5 linked regions of the Coturnix japonica genome follow. The protein of the gene in region 1 interacts with the protein of each later gene in a biochemical or structural test. Links are inferred from orthologs where the notes say so. Each region holds a gene or a part of one and is shown in the gene's direction. Other genes may lie near its edges. The genes, in order: RXRA, POU2F1, NRIP1, NCOA6 and TRIM24.

Evidence for each region.
Region 2: the proteins of RXRA (region 1) and POU2F1 form a complex in vitro, tested with the Homo sapiens proteins (2 studies listed by BioGRID). The link is inferred for Coturnix japonica from reciprocal best matches to the Homo sapiens genes RXRA and POU2F1.
Region 3: the proteins of RXRA (region 1) and NRIP1 form a complex in vitro, tested with the Homo sapiens proteins (2 studies listed by BioGRID). The link is inferred for Coturnix japonica from reciprocal best matches to the Homo sapiens genes RXRA and NRIP1.
Region 4: the proteins of RXRA (region 1) and NCOA6 form a complex in vitro, tested with the Homo sapiens proteins (5 studies listed by BioGRID). The link is inferred for Coturnix japonica from reciprocal best matches to the Homo sapiens genes RXRA and NCOA6.
Region 5: the proteins of RXRA (region 1) and TRIM24 form a complex in vitro, tested with the Homo sapiens proteins (3 studies listed by BioGRID). The link is inferred for Coturnix japonica from reciprocal best matches to the Homo sapiens genes RXRA and TRIM24.

Annotation. Positions count from the first base shown.
Region 1 is NC_029532.1:5,848,857-5,852,708, forward strand, and holds part of RXRA (retinoic acid receptor RXR-alpha), read left to right. Parts: intron 1-973; coding exon 974-1,124; intron 1,125-1,900; coding exon 1,901-2,080; intron 2,081-3,852. UniProt on the Homo sapiens protein: Receptor for retinoic acid that acts as a transcription factor.
Region 2 is NC_029516.1:82,215,017-82,218,868, reverse strand, and holds part of POU2F1 (POU domain, class 2, transcription factor 1), read left to right. Parts: coding exon 1-37; intron 38-851; coding exon 852-1,197; intron 1,198-2,004; coding exon 2,005-2,093; intron 2,094-3,120; coding exon of another isoform or gene 3,121-3,230; exon of another isoform or gene 3,231-3,395; intron 3,396-3,401; coding exon 3,402-3,712; 3' UTR 3,713-3,852. UniProt on the Homo sapiens protein: Transcription factor that binds to the octamer motif (5'-ATTTGCAT-3') and activates the promoters of the genes for some small nuclear RNAs (snRNA) and of genes such as those for histone H2B and immunoglobulins.
Region 3 is NC_029516.1:88,408,516-88,412,367, reverse strand, and holds part of NRIP1 (nuclear receptor-interacting protein 1), read left to right. Parts: intron 1-700; 5' UTR 701-1,057; coding exon 1,058-3,852. UniProt on the Homo sapiens protein: Modulates transcriptional activation by steroid receptors such as NR3C1, NR3C2 and ESR1. Also modulates transcriptional repression by nuclear hormone receptors.
Region 4 is NC_029535.1:416,951-421,487, forward strand, and holds the start of NCOA6 (nuclear receptor coactivator 6), read left to right. Parts: upstream 1-1,435; 5' UTR 1,436-1,630; intron 1,631-4,537. UniProt on the Homo sapiens protein: Nuclear receptor coactivator that directly binds nuclear receptors and stimulates the transcriptional activities in a hormone-dependent fashion. Coactivates expression in an agonist- and AF2-dependent manner.
Region 5 is NC_029516.1:55,902,468-55,906,319, forward strand, and holds part of TRIM24 (transcription intermediary factor 1-alpha), read left to right. Parts: intron 1-377; coding exon 378-557; intron 558-2,070; coding exon 2,071-2,209; intron 2,210-3,419; coding exon 3,420-3,492; intron 3,493-3,852. UniProt on the Homo sapiens protein: Transcriptional coactivator that interacts with numerous nuclear receptors and coactivators and modulates the transcription of target genes.

The DNA of each region.
Region 1 (3,852 bases):
AAAAGTGTTCTGGGGGTGTTGCTAGAGCCATGTGCAGTGCTGCAACTTTGTGAGGCTCGTGCCCTTTCCCTTGGTGCTGCATCACATCCCTGCAGGTTGCTCCTGCTGCTGACTGGGGTGAGTTTGCCTCTCTGTGTGCTGTGGTTTTCAGCCCTCTGCCTGCCAAGTATTCCCACCAGCTTGGAGGCTTGAAAGTCAGAGAAGTGGCTGTGGTTGTCTAATGGACAGAACACAAGCGCTGGGACATCCCTGAATTAATCTGTGACAAGTGCAATTGCCCAGTGTCACTATTAAGGGAGAGAAAGACAACAAGCTGAGACACAAATCCTGTCTGTCCTGCTTTGTTTTAGCAGTTGGCAGGAGCTGCAGAAGCCTGACTGCCCACATAGAACCCCATTGCACCTGCCCTGGGCTGGGTTTTGGTCCCCATTGGGTCCCTCCTGCATCCCTGTCCCCTCTCAATGTGTCTATAGGAGGGCACAGAGACACCAGCACAGAGCATTTTTGCAGAGGGATCTTTCTGGTGGCACTGAGCATAAAATCTTGTTGCAGAGAAAACCCCTGAGGCCCTGAAGGTGCAGATGGTTGCTGCAATAGGGATGGCAGCTTGGAACCTGCGGGCCAGAGCTGCAGCTCTGTCCTCACACCTTTCCTTCACACCTCAGTGGGTTACTGGGGCTATGCAGCCAAGGGCAGGGGCAGGATAGCAGAGCACAGGCTGCTGTGAGCTTGTTTCCATTGCCAGGACTGAGCTTGTCTCACACCTCCATGCCTCAGTTTCTCTGTGTGCAGGGGGGGAGCACAGTCCTCTGCAAAGCCAGGCCTTGTTGCACTTGGCTTGCTGATCTTTGGGGTCAGGTGCCCATATCTTTCTCTGGGCTCAGCACTGTGGGTTTTAAGCTGTTTGTCCCCTATTTCATATGTTTTCCTGCCTGTACCCAATCCCATGTGCTCTCTGCTTATGTCCTTGTAGCTCAACTCACCCATGAACCCCGTCAGCAGCTCAGAAGACATCAAGCCACCCCTGGGGCTCAATGGAGTCCTCAAAGTGCCAGCACATCCCTCAGGAACAATGGCCTCCTTCACCAAGCACATATGTGCCATCTGCGGGGACAGATCTTCAGGTAAAGCTCCTCCTGTACTGCATGCTGCCAATGAGAGTGCTAAGGCACATAGGAGCTTAGCACCATCCCCTCTGCTTAGGGACGGTAGTGCCCCATGGAAAAGGGAAAGCATCCCCAGGCTTGCTTTCTCCCAGGTGAGACGTGCTGGGCTCAGCTGTTTGACCTCCCCATTCTTCACACTGCCTTAATGGTTACGAGAGAAATAAACAGTTTGTCAGGCTCCTTGGTAGAGCCAATCCCATGCTTTATCCCCAGCCCCCAGTAGGGAGGACCAGCCATTAGCTGACTGTCCCTCTCTCTGTATCCTTTGATCCATGGCTGGGCTCATCACATAGCACCAGATAAAAAGATGTGCTTTGTGGAGTCTCTCTACTGGTGGGAGATAAAGATGTGCTAATTCCCTTTATTCTTACGCTGCTTTAAAAGCTTTCAGCTCAGTTAGTGCCCTGCTGTCTAGGTTTTGTGGTCTGGTGGGATGCCTCCTGCTTATTCTGTTGGGATGGGGAGGGCCGTAGGGAGGTGCCCCCAGTCTTGCTGCATGGATAACCAATGGTGGTTGGGGCAGTTTGTAGCCCCCACAGGCCATCCTGGTGTTATGGAGATCAATGAATTCAAAGCCTTCTTGCTGATGCTCTGCCTTTCCCAAATGCTGCCCTGGGAAGGATCATGGAACAACAGCTTTGGGTTGGGAGGGTCCTTTGAGAAGAACTGCAGGTCCACGCAAAGGATCTGTGGGGCACCCAGCACCTTTGCTGAGCCCTTTCACACCTCTGCAGGTAAACATTATGGGGTGTACAGCTGTGAGGGCTGCAAAGGCTTCTTCAAACGCACGGTGAGGAAGGACCTGACCTACACCTGCCGTGACAACAAGGACTGCTTGATCGACAAGCGCCAGCGCAACCGCTGCCAGTACTGCCGCTACCAGAAGTGTCTTGCCATGGGGATGAAGAGGGAAGGTAAGGCACTGAGCCCCCCCTGGGGTGCTGTGTGTCCTATGGGCACCTGGCTGTGTTGTTGGGGTGACACACGGGCTGTCAGGCACATGGTGTGCCCTGTGTGTCTATAGTTGGGGTTATGCTGACCCAGGAGTGTTCCCTAGCAGTGCTGGCTGGTTAGGTTTTTTTTCTTATTGGGAAGAAAGAAGAAATTCAGTCTTGTAAAAAGATATCCCTTCCCCTTAGTGGAATTTAAATGAAGGATCTAAAACTCCCTGGCAGTGCCTCTTTGAAGTGCTCTTTTTAAATGCTGACTGCATCTCTCTGAAACTGCTGGCAGAACGGGCTTTTAGCAGGCACGATGGGAAAGTGACCCCGTGGTGCTGCTCAGGTCTCCGCTGCCTTCTCCCCTTACACCCTCACTGGGGCAGGCAGAGCTCTTTCCCTGCTGACATCTCAATGGAGAGCCCCTGGGGTGCCTCCCCTGGTCCTATAGATCTTTGGTGCTTGGAAACTGGAGCAGCGATGGGTTGGCAGCATGGAGGTGGCTGTGCCTGATGCAGCAGTGAGCAGAGACCTCATTTGAGTGTGGTTTGGGGGAATGGGTTCTCCATCCCCTTGGTTTGTGAGCAATCATATCCTGTGATCATCAGGTACTGCTCTGTGCTCACCAATAGCAGCGATTGCACGGGCATCACCAACTGAAGTCACAGCTCTATTAATTAATCTCTAAACGGTGGTGGAATTCCCCGGGGAGCTCGCGTACAGTGCGAGGGCTCTATTAATTCATCTTGATTAACATTATCGCAGTGAATAGCAAATGAATTCAGAACGATCAGCCAATTATTTAAAAGTGTGACAGATGGGAGCTTCGTAACTCTCCAAGCGCGCTCAGGCGGTGCTGGCATGGCACAGGGATGGCTTTGGTGGTGCATAGGGTATGATCCCCATGCAGGCAGAGCTGGGCTCAGTGTCTTGTTCCCTAGGTAGCAGTAAGCCTGGCAGTGCAGTGGCTGCTGGCAGTGCAGAGGTGTCCCACTGTTATAGCACACACCTGGAGCTGGAGTTCTCCAGTCTCTAGTTTTGAGTGGTTCTTTAGCGCTGATCCACCTGATTTCCCAGCAGATCATCTCTGTCCCATTGCATCCATCCCACTCTTGCTGTCCTTCCCTGTTGCCAGCCCTGAGCCTTGGCTGTAGTTGTCCCCACAGCACCTCATTTGGGAGCAGCTCTGGGCTGCATCGTGCACAATGGTTCCTTTAGCCCCAATGCTTGCTTACAAGAAAGCTGGCCATTATCCTCTGGTGTAAACTGTTACCTCTTTTAAGTAACATAGCTGGGGTAATGAGCCTCATTTCCTCACAAAATACTTCACTCTGGAGACCTAATTTATAGCCCCGTAAATGCAGACTCCTGCTCAGAGGAATCTCTCCTATAGCCCAGACATGTTTGTGTGTCATGGAAGGACAGCAAAACCCTCTACATTAAGTAGTGAAGGAGACATTGTTCAGTGGTTCTCCAATGACTGCTCTACAGCCTGGTGCTGGGAAAGGGTAGGACATAGGGAGCTGTTTGGGTGGAGGCTTTAGGAGCCAGATCTGGGGGATCGAGGCTTATTGCAGGGAAAGGATTCCTTCTGGAGCATGTATCTCTGGCTGTTCCCTGTGAAAAGACATTACAGCACATCCTGATGCTGTATGAGCCCTATGGATTCTGGAGCTATTGAGGCTCTGATTAATAAGCAGCCAGGAATGTTTTCTTACTGTGAATTACTGCCAGCTGTGTGAGCCTTT
Region 2 (3,852 bases), on another chromosome or scaffold:
CTGACCAGTCCTGCTGTAACTAGTTTGTCAGTCACAGGTAAGGGGTGCATGCCCTGACAGTTTCTTCACAGTTCATTTATTTTTAGTTGTCAGGTAAATTATGATGTCAAACAAGTAATTGAGGTTCTATAGAGGTAAAGATATTGTTGGATTTCTAATGCCCTTTGTTGTAGTTATTTGGGAGAAATTTAGAACTCTCTGGGATCTACTGCCAAAGATTTTGTATAAAGTAGGTATTGCGTGTTGATGTGTGCATTGCGAAGATGTTTCAGACAGATATCCTCAATCTGCTTGGCTAGAACTGGAAAACAGGAAAGAGAAATGCCTTTATGATAGATAAAGAATCTTTGGGATATTGTGAACTCATCTTTTGTGTGTTGGTTCCAAGTATTCCTCTTCTCTCAACTTTAAACAGAGCTCCTGGGCAGGTTTGCCTTGTGCCCATGTTAACTTCTACTGTTTTCCCCTTTCAAATTATTCAGAAGGTCTTTCTTTATCTCAGTAGCAGTCACACAAGTATCTCAGGGCATCCTTGTCATTGTTCCACATTATTCTGCTCTGAAACTTCACTCTTTGTGACCGTTTGGTTAACTTTCCTTAGGAAACAAGTACAGGTGATAGTGAAGTGCAAGGTGCTGCCTCCTATTGCTAGCTTCTAGTGCTCCTCAGCCTCCTCTTGAAGTGTCATTCCATTGTAGACTGACACCCAAACTCAAAGTCAGACATCTCAGTTCTAGAAGAATGTGTTTATCTCCCTTTCGGTTGGATGTGCAGTTCAGTTCAAGTGGTTAGTGGTTTCTGCTCAGTTATATCTGGCTTTTGTACTGATATAACCAGACTCAATCTTTTAGGCACAACAGAAACCACCTCCAACAACACAGCAACAGTGATTTCAACGGCACCTCCAGCTTCTTCAGCAGTGACATCACCCTCCCTGAGTCCTTCCCCTTCTGCCTCAGCCTCCATTTCAGAGGCATCCAGTGCCAGCGAGACCAGCACAACACAGACAACCTCCACTCCCTTGTCCTCCCCTCTTGGGACCAGCCAGGTGATGGTAACAGCATCAGGGTTGCAAACAGCAGCAGCAGCTGCATTACAAGGAGCTGCACAGTTGCCTGCAAATGCAAGTCTCGCTGCCATGGCTGCTGCAGCAGGACTAAACCCAGGCTTGATGGCATCCTCACAGTTTGCAGCTGGGTAAGGATGAATTTTTCACACCCTTAAAGGTTAAGCAGCAGGAAAGGGAAGGAGAATTCTTGGAATGATTTGTGTGGTCTTTTATGTATTGCAGTTTTCTGGTAGCTCATTTGGCACTTTTAGTGTCTTTTACCTGAAATTCTGAAGGTTTGCTTATAGATGGTAAGCATTCCCATCAGGGTACACAAACATGGTTTTCATTTTACAAATGGAAAAGCTGTGTTGCAGTGTTGTTGTTTGCAGTCATCTATCCCACTGCTGAGTTTGACTTAAGAGCTGCAACTTACCAGAAACCATTGAATCATCTCAAATGGAGAGTTGGCCTAGGCCCACTTGTCACCTCTGTTTTCATTTCTCCCTCACGATCAAGAAGTGTAAAAATACATAATATGTGTTGTTGAAGATTTTGCTTTAAAAAACATTGCTCTGAGAGATGGCTCTTTGTTTCTTCAGTTCCTCTTGATTGACATCTGTCTTATCTGAATCTAGGAGTTTATGGTAGCTATCTAACAAGTTACAGTTTCTCAAAAATACATTACAGGAATATTTTACAGCTACGATCAATGCAACATGTACTTACATTGCCTGTACTTCAGACCTATTGCTAGCCACAGAGCTGAAAGGCAACATCTACTCAAGATACTGTCAAAAAAAAAGGAAATTAACTAAAAACTAGATTGAGGCCTTTCATGTCCCCTCCCACCCCCTTTAAAAAAATATATGGTCGTGTAGTTCTAAACTATGGCCACCTTTTCCTAAAAGTAACACTCTTTGTCTTTGTTTCTTCCATGATCTTGCTTCCTGCAGAGGTGCCTTACTCAGTCTCAATCCAGGGACATTAGGTGGTGCTCTCAGCCCAGCCCTGATGAGCAACAGTACACTGGCAACTATTCAAGGTCAGTAAAGCACTTCTTAATGCATCTCTGTTGTACTTCCTTAGCTTTGTTGTTCTCTACCACAAAAAAAAAAAAAAAACAAAAACAAAAAAAGAACGCTGGCTCTTCAGAACTGGACATAAGTGTTGTCAGACTGGAGGTTTTTCAAAATTCAAATGCCCAAATTCATTGTATGTGTCACGGATTCAAGAGCAGGTGAAACTTCAGAAAGTAGAGTAGAGTCAGGTATAATCTTATAGAGATTCACAGAAGTCCTTTAAGATACTGCGTGTGATCTGGAGTTTATTTCCTTGTCTTTGCCCCATAGTTCTAGAGGGATACGTGTCTCCAGCAGGTTGGAGATACGCATTTTATAGCTCTTCTGACATGAGCTTGAGCAGGGTTGCGCTGTTTTGAGATCTGTGGGAGAGCACTTCTGAGAAAGACTTGATCCTGGCTTCTTCTTCTCAAATGTCTTTTAAACAAATGAGTGAAAAAACCTCTACCCCTAAAACTCCTTACGTGGAACTTTAAATTCATAAATCCATATTTGGAGGAGTAAAGCTTTGTTTTGCATCTGCCATGCAGTCAAAAATCTCCATTGGCTTTAATAAGTAAGAGTTGCTCTTGCTGCATAGTTTGTCATCTATGGGGGGAAAAAGAGAGTTGGTTCAGGTGCCTTAACATCTAGCTAACCTTGTGTATTCAAACATCTCGGGGGTTGGACTATACGGTCTCCCTTACAACCCTTACGATTCTGTGATTGATTCTGTGATCTTCTAAAGCAGCTTAACAAATCTTGTTTGCAGGGTCCAAGAAAGAACCGTTTCACAAAGGGTCACAGATAAATATATGAGATCTTAATCTAAGGCAGACTGAACCCTGTAGCCTTGTGAGAGAGTTAAGTTGTAACCGCATTTATATGTCGTAATTTAAAAAGTTACTCTCAAGGTTACATGACCTTCATCTTGTGATAACTGTTGTTTCCACTGAACACGCATCTCAACCCTTTCCAAGTTACCTGAGTGCACGGGTTTTTCTTTGGCAGAAAACGTAGAGCAGTGTTGCAGTAAAAGAGCTGAAGCAAAGCTTGATGGAATTAGGAGCAAGTGGACAGAAGCATTTTCATATCTGCAAGGTCTTATTCACCCTTCGTAAGGAGCTGTCGTTTAAAAAGAGAAAAAGTTACATTTGATGTCTGTCGTTAGTGGTGTAGGGGGCATTCACATCAGGGAAGGAAAGTGCAGAGCCCTGTTGCTTCTAGGCACGTTTGGCATTGTTGGTTACTACTGATGTTATCTCCTCCCTACTTAATTCTCCATTTTTTAGCTCTTGCATCTAGTGGCTCTCTTCCAATAACATCACTGGATGCATCTGGAAACTTGGTGTTTGCCAATGCTGGAGGTACTCCTAACATCGTAACTGCCCCTCTGTTCCTGAACCCTCAGAACCTTTCTCTGCTCACCAGCAACCCGGTTAGCTTGGTCTCTGCAGCTGCAGCCTCCGCAGGGGCCTCTGGACCAGTCGCCAGCCTTCATGCCACCTCCACCTCAGCCGAGTCCATCCAGAACTCTCTCCTCACGGTGGCCTCTGCGAGCGGGGCCACATCCACCACCACTACTGCCTCCAAGGCACAGTGAGCTGGGCTGAGCTGTGCTGCCAGCAGCCTTTTTCACTGTGCAGTGGGATTGGCTGCCAGTGGGGTTTATGAACTGAAAAATGTGATGGTCATCCTCTCGCCGTGTTGCTGGGGACAAGGGAGAGAAGGAGAAATATTCAA
Region 3 (3,852 bases), on another chromosome or scaffold:
CACCACTTTACATCGAATACGTGGAAAGAATGTACAAGTAAATATCTTTCAATGAAGTTCTAGCAGGAATGTGTTAATAATTGCCTTTTCCTCCCTTCCTATTGCCTGACTCTTCAAATTACTTATGGTAGTTGGGAGTTGGAAGAACAGAAATGTGCTCGTATGTGTTGCTGCTTATTCAGGTGTTTGACAAATTCAACATGAACCTGAACGTTGACTTTTAGATGCATTTTTTTCCCTCATTAATTTTCTTTCAGAGTGATGCTGTTCATGCCTTGTGTGTTCACATGCTAACGTAAAAATATTGTTGGAACTGTGAGGTAGAATCCAGAGTAAATTTTTCTGAGCAATATTTAGATTTTTCTTTCATGGTTACTAGTTTTTAGTTGGAGTTTTATAGCAGAGAGATTCAGTGATCACTTCTAGTAGCTACTCTTAGGATAGTTCACTTTAGCTTAGATTTTACATAATGCTTTCTGTCTCAGAGTGATTTTCACAACGTTCTTCAGATTAGGTGCTGTAGACTCATTGCATTATTCAATCATTAATTTCTTCTAGAGTGTGATTAATGCTTGTACATCTTGGATCTCTCTAGAACTGTATGTGGAAAAAACATCTCTTATGCAGTTTATTTAGATTTTACCCAAATTCTTTTTCTTGACCACTGTTTTTTGGTTTTCTTTTTTTTTCCCCCACTTAGGTATTCTGTGTTCTTGATGGAGATGGAAAAAGATGAAAACCAAACTAACTTCCTGGAGAAAGCTGAAGAAAGCAAATATGTAATAGAACTTTACTGCCTTAGAAGTGTGTTTTGAGTGCTCTTCCTCGACATCCGTCGTAAATATTCTGTATCTCAACACAGGGACATGATTGGTTTTCAGTCAAGATACACTGGAAGAAACCTGCCTGGAATGTGACTGTGTTGCTTCTGAAAGTTTGTGAGAACACGCTATAGACATCTATCTATTATTTATTAACTCTGCATCTCGATTCAGCTGCAGCAAACTGGTCTTTGAAGTGAATAGAAACAGAGCCCTTTTGGATACTTTTATTGAACATGACTCATGGAGAAGAGCTTGGCTCTGAGATGCACCAGGATTCTGTTGTTCTAACTTACCTAGAAGGATTACTAATGCATCAAGCGGCAGGAGGCTCAGGTACTACAGTTGACAAAAAGTCTGCTGGGCATAGTGGAGAGGATCAAAACTTTAATATTTCTGGAAATATATTTCCCAGCTGTCAAAGTAATGGTCCAGTTCTTAACACAAGTACATATCAGGGATCTGGCATGTTGCACCTCAAAAAAGCAAGGCTGTTGCAGTCTTCTGAAGATTGGAATGCAGCGAAGAGAAGGCGGTTGTCTGATTCCATTGTGGATTTAGACGGAAAAAAGGAAGCTTTGTTAGCTGGCATGGTTGAAAATGTGCCTAAAGGCAAACAGGATAGCACATTACTTGCCTCTTTGCTTCAGTCATTCAGCTCTAGGCTTCAGAGTGTTGCTCTGTCACAGCAGATTAGACAGAGCCTTAAGGAGCAAGGCTATTCCCTTAGCCATGATTCTTTACAGGTGGAGAAAGATTTACGGTGCTATGGTGTTGCATCCAGTCACCTGAAGACTCTATTGAAGAAGAGCAAAGCAAAGGATCAGAAGTTGGACAACAGCTTGCCTGATATAACAAAGAACCTGCCCAAAGAGAGGTTTATAGAATCTCCTCATGCAGTGCAGAGCGGACCTAAAGTAGTAAATGAACCACTGTCATGTGCTGCAAGATTACAAGCTGTGGCAAGCATGGTAGAGAAACGATCTAGTCCTGCTGCTTCACCAAAGCCCAGTGTAGCATGCAGCCAACTAGCTTTACTACTTTCAAGTGAAGCTCACTTGCAGCAGTACTCCAGGGAACATGCTTTAAAAGCACAAAATGCAAATCAAATAGCAAGTGAGAGACTTGCAGCTATGGCCAGATTACAAGAAAGTGCTCAAAAAGATATTGGCCAGTTCAGTTTAGCAAAAGGAATGACAAGCCATCTCAATGGTCAAGCAGGATCATCAACCAAAATGGTATCTAGCAAAAGCAATATGGCACCGTTTCAGAGTTCGGTGGGAATCACACATTCACCACCCAAAAATGTTGGATTCAAAAGTACCTTGGAAAGGAATAATGTGAAAACCTCTCCCAGCAACAGTTTGCTCTTACATCTCCTGAAAAGCCAGAATACCACCAAACAATTAAAAGGCCATGAACAGAGTGAGAGAGCCAGCATTTTTGAAGAGAGTAGCACACCAACAACTATTGATGAGTATTCAGACAACAATCCTAGTTTTACAGATGACAGCAGCGATGACGAAAGTTCCCATTCTAACTGTCTTCCTATAGACTTATCTTTTAAACAGAGGACAGACAAACCAGACACAGGTCCACCGGCGTCACTGGATAACCTGACTCAGTCCTTGCTTCATAGCTGGGATCCAAAAGTTTCCTGTCCGGAGAGCAAGGAGGACAAAGACACTCCAAAAGCATCTAAGCTGAACCCCCATCAAAAAGTAACACTACTTCAGCTGTTACTTGGGCATAAGAGTGAAGAAAAGGTAGACAAAAGTAATGAGCCTCAGGGACCACACAGTGCTGCTGATGTGGCAAAATTCACTGTACAAACTGGTAAAAGGACTCCTGTTACTGACAGTCCCAATGCAAATCGAATGACTCCACTAAACACTCCACCTTTGCTTGCTTCTGCAAAAGCAGACTCTCCTATAAATCTCTCTCACCCATCATTAGCCATCAAGCGTAGCTCACCACCATATGCCTGCAGCATCCAGCCAGACAGGCTGGTGAATCCTGCATCTAAACATTTGATAGACCTTTCAAAAAGCAAAGAAATTCAAGGAGCTAAGCTGAGCCGAAACGACAGTCCACAAAACTCGTCAGCTTTCAGTGCCAGCAAGCTGTTGCAGAATCTTGCTCAGTGTGGTATGCAGACTTCCATGTCAAGTGAAGAACAAAGATCCGGCAAACATCTGCTGGTGGGGAACACAGATAAACCCGTAGGCTTGATTGATAGATTGAACAGCCCTCTGCTTACAAATAAATTAAGTACTCACGAAGAAAATAACAAAATATTAAGTTGTCATTCTGTACCCACTGAACAAGGACTTCCAGGTTCGGAAATAGAAAATCTCCTTGAAAGGCGAACTGTCCTTCAGCTGCTTCTGGGAACTCCCAATAAAGGTAAAAATGAAAAGAAAGAGAGGGTGCTTTTAAGAGATGAAAGTTCTCAGGAACACACAGATAAGGCTTTGAATGAGCAAATATTGACAGTGAAAATAAAAACTGAACCGTCTGAAGAATCAAATGTCCCTTATAATTCAAATGCACAACAAATAAGAGAGTGCAAGGGTAACAAATTTCAAGGATTTGTTCATTCGCTACAGAGAAACACAGCTGCTTCTCCAGCATCTGAGGAGATGAAGTCTGAGCCTCTTTCACCTCAAGATTTTTCTTTTTCCAAAAATGGCCTGCTAAGTAGATTGCTGAGACAGAATCAGGATAGTTACCCTGCAGATGAGGTGGACAGAAGTCATCAAAACAATGAGCTGGCACACCTGGAATCAAAGAGTCTTTGCACAGTACCGAAGAAAAGGAAGCTTCATGCTGAGCCTTTGGAAAGTCCGTTAAAAAAGATGAAAACTAATGTGTCTCATGCTGCAAACAATCACGTTTCTCCTACAGAGGCACTGTATGGGCCTTTGCTAAACCAGCAAGAACTGAAATTTGGCAGAAGTGATTCAGAATTTAAATATGCTGTAAGTCATGGTTCAAATAATGAAAGTGATAATAGGAGTTGGTCTAGAGA
Region 4 (4,537 bases), on another chromosome or scaffold:
GCACCGGGGCAGATATACATGGAGAGAGGCACGAGCAGAAGAACCCCCTAGCAAAGAATTGCTGAGCAATTTGTCCTTCAGCAGGGAGTGTCTGAGCTGCCAGTGCTGCATAAACAGCCTGCTCGCAGCTTTCCACACACCAAAATTACTTGGCAGAAGCATCAGTCATCCAATAACGGTGGTGGTTTGCTTTCCCATGGAATGGATTCATACATCCATTTAAGAAATCCTATTTTGTTCCGTGTTGCTCTAGCAGCAAATGACAAGTGGGACAGCTGCATTTCACACGTTCTGCAAACAAACCGAGGTTTCCTCTTGTCGTGCCGTTCTGTGGGTCCATCGGGGCTGTGCCCAGCAGTGAGCTGGGGGCCGTGCACCCCAGGGAGCACAGCAGGACCTGCCCACATTGCTGTGCCAACTGTGCGGTTTTTTAAAGGACCAAAGACTGGATTTTCACAAGGGACTCCTGGTCATTGTAGTGGCCTTACACAGCAGCTGCCACGTGCTGCTTTTGTTTACCAGCGGAACATGGGTGCTCTTCAATGAAAGCGGCGACCGGCAGAAGAAAAAGTGACGTTTCTGCAGCGGCACCGCGGCGGTGTGAGCTCGGCATTGCCCACGTGCACTCAGCCTTGCAGGATATGACGTGAACTCCTGCGGGTCTCAGTGCCCCGCACGCTAAATCCTGCCAGACAGCCCCGTGTGCCCCTTCTCTGCTCGGGGACCAAAGCATTCCGTTATTCAAAAGCATCCCCACATTCTAGTGCCGTTCCGCACGACTCCATCCCGTTACACCTTTCCCTCAGCAGCGCAGGCCTCGCTCCCGCCGTGCGGCAGGAGCCGAGTATCGCTGCTGACACAGCCGCAGCGCCGGGGGCTGCCCCGGACCCGGCCGACTTTGAACGCAGGCTCCCAGAGCAGGTGGCACGGGAAGACACGCAGGCGGGTTCGAACGTCTGCAGAGACTCCTGCAGCACACGGCGCAGGCCGTGCCGGGCTCGGGCGCCCTCAGAGCGGCTTCTTCACTCGGCGGCGTTCGGCGCCAGCCCGGGGACCGCCCGCGGCCGGGGCCTCCCGGCAAAGATGGCGGCCGCTCCCCAGAGCGCCCCGCAGGCAGCGCCGGCCGCTCCCCCGGGCCCGGCCGGACCCGGTTCCGACAGCGCCGCGGGAGGGACGGCGCCGCGGCCCCGCGGACGCCTCGCGGAAGGCGGCTCCCAGTGCGCGGGCCGGGACCGGGGCCGCGCGATGCCGCCGGCAGCGCCCGCTCGGCGCGGAGCGGCGATGAAGGAGAGCGGAGACCGCGGGGCGGCGACGGCGGAGCGCGGAGCAGCTCCGTCCCGCACGGCGGAACCCCCCGTCCCGGCGGATCCCCCCTCCCGGCGCAGCGCGCTCGGACGCAGGCGCGGGCGGCGCGGGGCGGGAGGTCACGTGGCGCGCGGCGGAGCGGCGGGAGGCGGAGCGGCGGCCTGCGGAGGGTGTCCGGGCGCCCCAGGGCCCACCGCGACCTCCCGCCCCCGCTGTCACGGGGCGCGGGCTCCGCTCGCCCCTGGTCGCACGGGCGCTCCTCGCCCTCCCCCGCGCGGTCGCGGAGCGGGTCACGGCGGCGGCGGAGCGGCGACACCGGCACCAGGTGAGGGCGGGGCGGCCCGCGGCCTCTCGGCGGCACGGGCGGGACGGGGGTGGCGGGGCGGAAGCGGCGGCCCGGAGCGGAGCGGGCCGGGACGAGCCGGCCCGACGCGGCGCGGAGTCGCCCGAGCGCTCACCGTGCTCGGGGCCGCCGCCGGGGGGGGGGGGTTGCCGGGCCGCGCTCGGCCGCAGCGTTCGAGGGGTGCCCTCGGACGGGAGCCCCGGGCCGGGCCGCGTCGTCGGGCCCCTCTCGGGCCGCGGCCCGAGCCCCGGGGCTCCGCCCGCAGCTGCGGCCGCACCGCGGCCTGCGGAGCTCTCGGGCCGGGCCCAGCCGGCGGTGCGCAGCCCCGGGAGGAGGAAAGCGGCTCTCGCTAAAGCCGCCTGAAGCCGCTGTCGGCTCGGGCGCTGTTTCTGGGGTCGGTTCTTCGGCGGGTGTCACGAAGATGTCAGTGACGGTGCGCTGACGTTTCTTTGAGCCCCAGCTTTTGTTTGAATTTCTCTGTAACTCTCCAGCGTAGCGATCTTCTGGTCCTGTAGTCTCGGTGTGTCCCGGCCTTTCTCCAAGTTCGGTTTCTTTCAGAAAGCCCGACCTCCCTTTCTTTCCCCTGGCTGGTGCGGGAGGAGCGGTGCTGAGCTGTGTGCCCCGGGTCGGGGGCTGCTCGGCCCGCTCTGTGGGTCTCGCTGCTTACATCAGGCAGTGTGCAGTAATGTTATGCTGTTCTAGTAAAGAAATAGCTGCTTCTTTTGAAATGTGTGGAAGAACATGAGAAAGCCAGGCCTCTACCTGCGTTTGTAAACTGAGTATTAATGCTTTCACTTTTCAGCTGCTTAAATGCTTGAAACATGGGGCGATAGCGTTCCGATGAACATTTGTACTATCGCTCAGTTCTTAGCTGTGGTACTGCCAAAGATCGCGTACCTTTGTAGCAGATGTTAAACGTCTTAAACTCATAACTAGGTCATTGAATGGGTTTCCAGCATGTTTTTAGTTTTGAATACTGTACTGATTGCTTTTGGAAGAAAACTGGAGTTGCAGCTACACAGATACAGTGTGTTTAAGAGTTTTGCAAAGGCAGAAGGTTTGCTGCCAAGGACATTGAGGAGCGAAGGTGGCTGTAACAGTTGGATTGCAGTGGAAATAGAGCTGTTACAGGTCATTGGTGCCCCTCTGAAGGGCAGGGAACTTGGTGTTGGTGTCTCTTTCAAAACCATGTGGCCTCTATTGAGAAATACAAATGCGACGATGTACAGGGAGCTCCCACTGGATGAACAGCAGGGCTTAAAGCTGAGAGTCTGCATAGCAGAAATTGTGTTCAGACAAACTTGTTCCTTAACTCTGGCCAGAGCAGAAGCTATGGGAAAGAATGCTTAGAATTGGGAAAGCAAAGGGGCAGAAATTGAAAGATAAATAATGCTAGACATATACAGACCTGAGGCAGGGGAGGTCCATCCCCGTATTCCAGGTGAGAGGTTTTCCATCTGGCTGACAGGTGGAACTTCTGTCATGTTTGCTTTATGGAGGCAGTGGTTGCTGTGTGTTCTGTCCGCCTCTTGCTCTGCCCTGTTTGCAAACTTTTGGTGGCCTCGGAGTGAATCAGTTGTTTTGCAGCAGCAGCTGCCCCACACAGGTGACATTTCAGCCCCCACAGCCTGTGTATGGCTTAGATTGTGCATCTTGGTAGCTGAAGGCTTCCCTCGGGATGATGTGTGACACTGAATTATTTGTGGCCTAATCAGAAGGAAAGGAGTGGGGGAAGGCTGGGCTTTGGATTGCACAGAGAGGAGCTAGAGGAAACTTTGCAGAGGTCTGAAAGCATAGGTAAAAACCATCTGCCAGCAGGGCTTGTTGCCCTTGCAATGTGTCCTGTGTCGTTAGTTGGTGCTGCTGACAAGCCTCCTGCGTTTGGAACAGCACTTCCAAGTCTGGTGGTAATGTCCTTAAAGTAGGAACAAGAGATGAATTCTGGTGTCTATGTATGGGGACCTTGATGTCGTGTCAGAGTAAATATCTCTTCATGTATTTAGGGAAGTGAAGGAGGAGCAGTGTGCGGCAGAGCTCACCTGAGGAAGGGAGGTGCTCAGTGTGACAGCCATCGTTCTGGGACTGAGGGGGCTGCTCCCTTCTGCAGCTTCAGGGAGCAGAGGGCTTTGGGTCAGATTTGTACAGCAATTAAAAAGTACAGTAGAAGAGCTGTGCCTTGTCTAAATTGATTTGTCCTTATATAAACTGATACTGGAACAGAAGATGTATGCCTCCGGTGGCGCAGTGGTTAAAGACGCCACTTTGCAACACCAGAGGCCCTGGGTTCGAATCCCCTGTGTTGCAAGTGGTAGAAGTGCCGCTCTGCTACACAGAGGCTCGAATCCCGGGGGGTTGGACTCGATGATCTCTAAGGTCCCTTCCAAACCCGCACGAAACTATGAAACTATGAAGATGTGAGCTGTGTATGTGAGAGTCTGAATTTTAAGTCTGCATTTTGTGAAAAGGAATGATTCAGTTACTCTCACCAAAAGATACATGCTGCTAAGTTCTCCAAGTCCTGTGTGCGTCCTTTTAGTTTTGTAGTTTTTACTCTTTTAATAGTTAAATATACGTGACCTTCCGAGACATGGGAACTGGTATGGGGCTCCATCTCTGGGCAGTTTCTTACAGAGCCTGCATCACATGTAAACCCGTGTCCTGCACTCCTGCAAGGCACACCCATAAACCTCCTTCCTTACTGTAAGGTACAAGGAAAGCATGGAGAATTATTCTTGCTGGTGAAGAATAGCACTGGACAAGAAATAGCTGTGCAGCATAGGAAGGTGTTCCTTCTGAGGTTTTCTTCAGGCCCTCTGTCCATCCCACACTAATACACTGCTAATTCTTTTGCATCTGTTTTACCATAGAGACCACAGTGTGGCTCTTCAT
Region 5 (3,852 bases), on another chromosome or scaffold:
AAGTACTGGAGTAGCTATATATTCATCATATTATCTGTAATGCTTTAATTTCACTAAAACTGTTACATTTCTCCTACAGCGCTGTCAGTGCAGCATGAAATATTAATAGATACTCAACATTGAGATGCATCTTTGAATTTAAGAATTCACATTCACTTATTCTTTTCATAGTTTTTAACTACTTGTCATCTTTCCTCATCTCGTAATATTGGTTGTTGAAATCAGATAACTTCAGAGTAAATTGGGATTTTATATTTGAATTCAACCTACTGTACTAGATTGCTTGTTTAGCTGATGACTTAGAGCAACAATGTGTAGTGTGTATATTTTGTAGAGGGAAAAATACTGAATTGTGGATCACTGTCTTGTCTTTTTAGTGGCAGGTCGGTAATGGACAAAGTTCAACTGCCATTTCAACAGCAAGCAGCATAACTTCTACTCCATCCAGCCCCACAGTCACTAGTGCTGCAGGATGTGATGGGAAGACATACGGTCCTCCTGTGATAGATTTGAGTTCTCCAGTGGGTAGTTCCTACAATCTACCATCTCTTCCTGATGTGAGTGTACCATCCATACCAGTCTGTCACAGATTCTATTTTGAAGCATGCTTTAATGGTTTTGAAAAGTATAAATCCTTTTTGTTTTGAAATTCTTCTGCTGGTTTATCAAAATGAGATAATTTCAGAAAGTGATGTGGGATTTCCTACATATTTTTGGCAGTATTCAGGCCTGTTCTGGGAAACAGCTATTAAGAGTGCAAAGAAAAATAACATTCCATGTTGTAACAGTAATAGGGCTTGTTTATGTGCTTGCTTCATATTACATTCTTTACTGCTATCCACTGGTCAATGAACTCATTATAACTCATTGAAAGTGCTATCTTAGGTGGTTGTTGTTGATGTAGTGGAGTCAAATTTTCCTTATAGTTCTTCTTTTTGATACTTCTTTCCTTCATACTTGCTCTAACATGCATGTGAGCAGGTGTTGGAGGAGTATCTTAAGTTCTTTGTTTTTCTTCTGATTGGTCCTTATTTGTCAGAGATTCTCATTAAAGATGGTGAACTTTATTTCCTTCTTTCAAGTAACTGCTGAGCCTATATTTGTAGTCTGAGCTTATAGAGAACTAAAATGTCACAATTTTCTAGCCATAACTTGCTGTTACTCCATTTCTCCCTCCTGTCTCTTAATCTCCACAATATGTTCTTCGATAAAAATCTAAGAGTCTTATTTTTAAAGAGTACATTGATATCACAGTATCTGTGAGAGTAAAAAGATAAAGTGCACAACATGATCATAAAACTACAGAATCTGTGAGACATTACAGCACACTGCTTTTTTGCATGCCATTGTTATGAACTCTTCTGCTTGTATGTGATTAAGTTTATGCTATGAAGATGTGTTGCTGAAATCACTGCATGTATGCTGACCTAGCAGAGACTTCTGCATCCAACGCTGAGAAGTCTAGCATTTAAATAGAAATTTCAGCATTCAATGGAGTTGCTGCCTGTAGATTTGAGATGTGTCTGGATAGTTAAGAAAGCTGATACCAAAGTGACCTATTTTCTGATCAAGCATGATCTCATGTATTATTAAACGGAACAAAACAAACCAGCAGCAAACTAACATCTCAAAATGTTATTTCTCTTTACCAAATCAGAATGTATAGCTTGTACAGAAAGCTAGACTGATAAATTTGCAGTTCTTAAAAGAAAGTTCCACTGTCTAGCCTGAGTCATGAATAAATAAACGTTGACTTGTTTTGAGTGTGTTTTGAGTGAATATGTGTGCCCCCTACCCAGAAGATGTGTGAGGCAAATGGAGTTAAGTGTCTTTTGAGGTTCTTCCACTTCAGCATAAACTAATGATATGAAACACTGTCAGGGTTTGGTCATTTCTCTATTTAGAGAAAACCAGATGTTTTAAAGTAACCACTTTTAGGATGGCTCAGGTTAGGTGGTCTTCATTTTGGTCTTCATCTCCAAAACAAAAGTATGGCAGAGGCACTATATTTTTTGTTTTGTTGTTTTCCCCCAACTCTTAGCTACTTTTCCTCTGTTAACCATCTTGTAGATTGACTGTTCAGGAAACATCACACTGGATACTGCTGCGAGGAAGGATGATGGCACTGCAGAGCAAAACCACCCAAAACCCCCTTCAAACAGAACTGTGCAGTCACCAAATTCATCAGTACCGTCACCAGGCATCTCAGGTAATTGGACTGTGATACAATTTTCTATTCATGTAGTGTAATGGTAGAACGTAACACGGCAATGTTAACATTGATATCAGAACGAGTTACTTGTATTTTATATCCACAATAAGAAATATTAAAATAAAGGCAAATAGTTAGAAAGCTTAGTATGAGGTAAAGCTGAGACTGCTTTAGTGCTGTGAACAAAGTTAAGTCAACAAACCTTAAAAACATGGAGTAAAAACTTAGTAGACACAAGAAAACTGCAAATGCAAGTTTATCTGTGGAAAACTGTCCTGTTCAGGTATACTAGATAGCATCCTAGAAGCTTTAGTAGGAGGGAAGAATTCGGTAAAGCAAGATAGGATGTAACATGAATGTAATGTAATGTATGTAACATGAATGTAATGCAATGAATGTAACAGAAGATAATGGCTGCAACTGGTCACTTGCAAATCTCAGTTTGGACATTAGAAAATCTTCTTCACTGGGAGAGTAGTGTAGCACTGACAGAAGTTGACCAGAACGATTATTGTTATGTGTAGCTAAATGTGGTAGAATTGAAGGACACATGGGATTCCTGGCACCATACCTGGTGGAATCAGTGGATGCTCCTTATTCTTACACTATGGGCCATTTCCTGATTTGGCCTGTAGTGAGGCTCTGTGAGCATGAATTCCCAGTATGTTCTTACTTGATGTTCATGCACTTGGACAGATTAGCTCAGAAAAGAGGACGGTGCATACAGATGCTCTCGTAAACAGGGACAGCGCAAACAGCCTGATTCTTTTTTCTCAGGAAAATTACCCTTCACAAATTTTCTGCTGTCTGACCCTTAGACCCTTTGTTGGGATCTCACATCTACACCCTGTCCTGAGGCCTCATTTTTCTGACCAGCTAATATGGCTTGAAGTTTTATAGTAAATTACACAATTAGAAACTAGAAATAGAATTTAATAAGGTAAGACAAAACAAACTGCAGTGATCAAGTGCAGGCATCAACCAGGAAAAGGTACTAAATCATCACCCTGCTTACATGCCAAAAATAGTTCTTTCCTTTACTCTATTATTCTTTTCTTGTTCTCTTATGGTTTTGTACTAGATGAGGTATTGATTAAATAAATAACAAGGCAAGAGAAATTTGCCAAAGACCTACATACTTCTCCAAATAATGGATCAGACTTGGCATAGATGTGTATTACATTCTAATCTGCTTCTTCTATCCTAGGAGGTGTCAGTGTAACAAACATACACCCTCCAATACGTTCACCCAGTGCCTCCAGTGTTGGGAGCAGAGAGAGGTAAGGAAGGAGTGGGAGTGGAAGAACATATGACTTCCACATCCATAGAACATGCCTCAGACTCTTTTATTGTTAGTGCAGAGAGATGTTAATGTACTCAAGCTTCTCTCTTAACAGAACAGATATGACAGTTATTACAGTACTTAGTGCAGTCTGAAAGTATGAAGGCTGCTCTGAAAGTAAGATCTCTTACGTTATTAAGTAGGCCCAATATGTCAGAGGCAGATGTTGGTGATATGGCAACATTGGTTGAACCTTCCGACTATATTCCATTGTGTTTTGTTGCTGTGTGGCAGACAGCAGCAGAGGGGCACTCTGACAGAATGGCATCTGACATGGAAGTGCATATGAAGCAAAGGT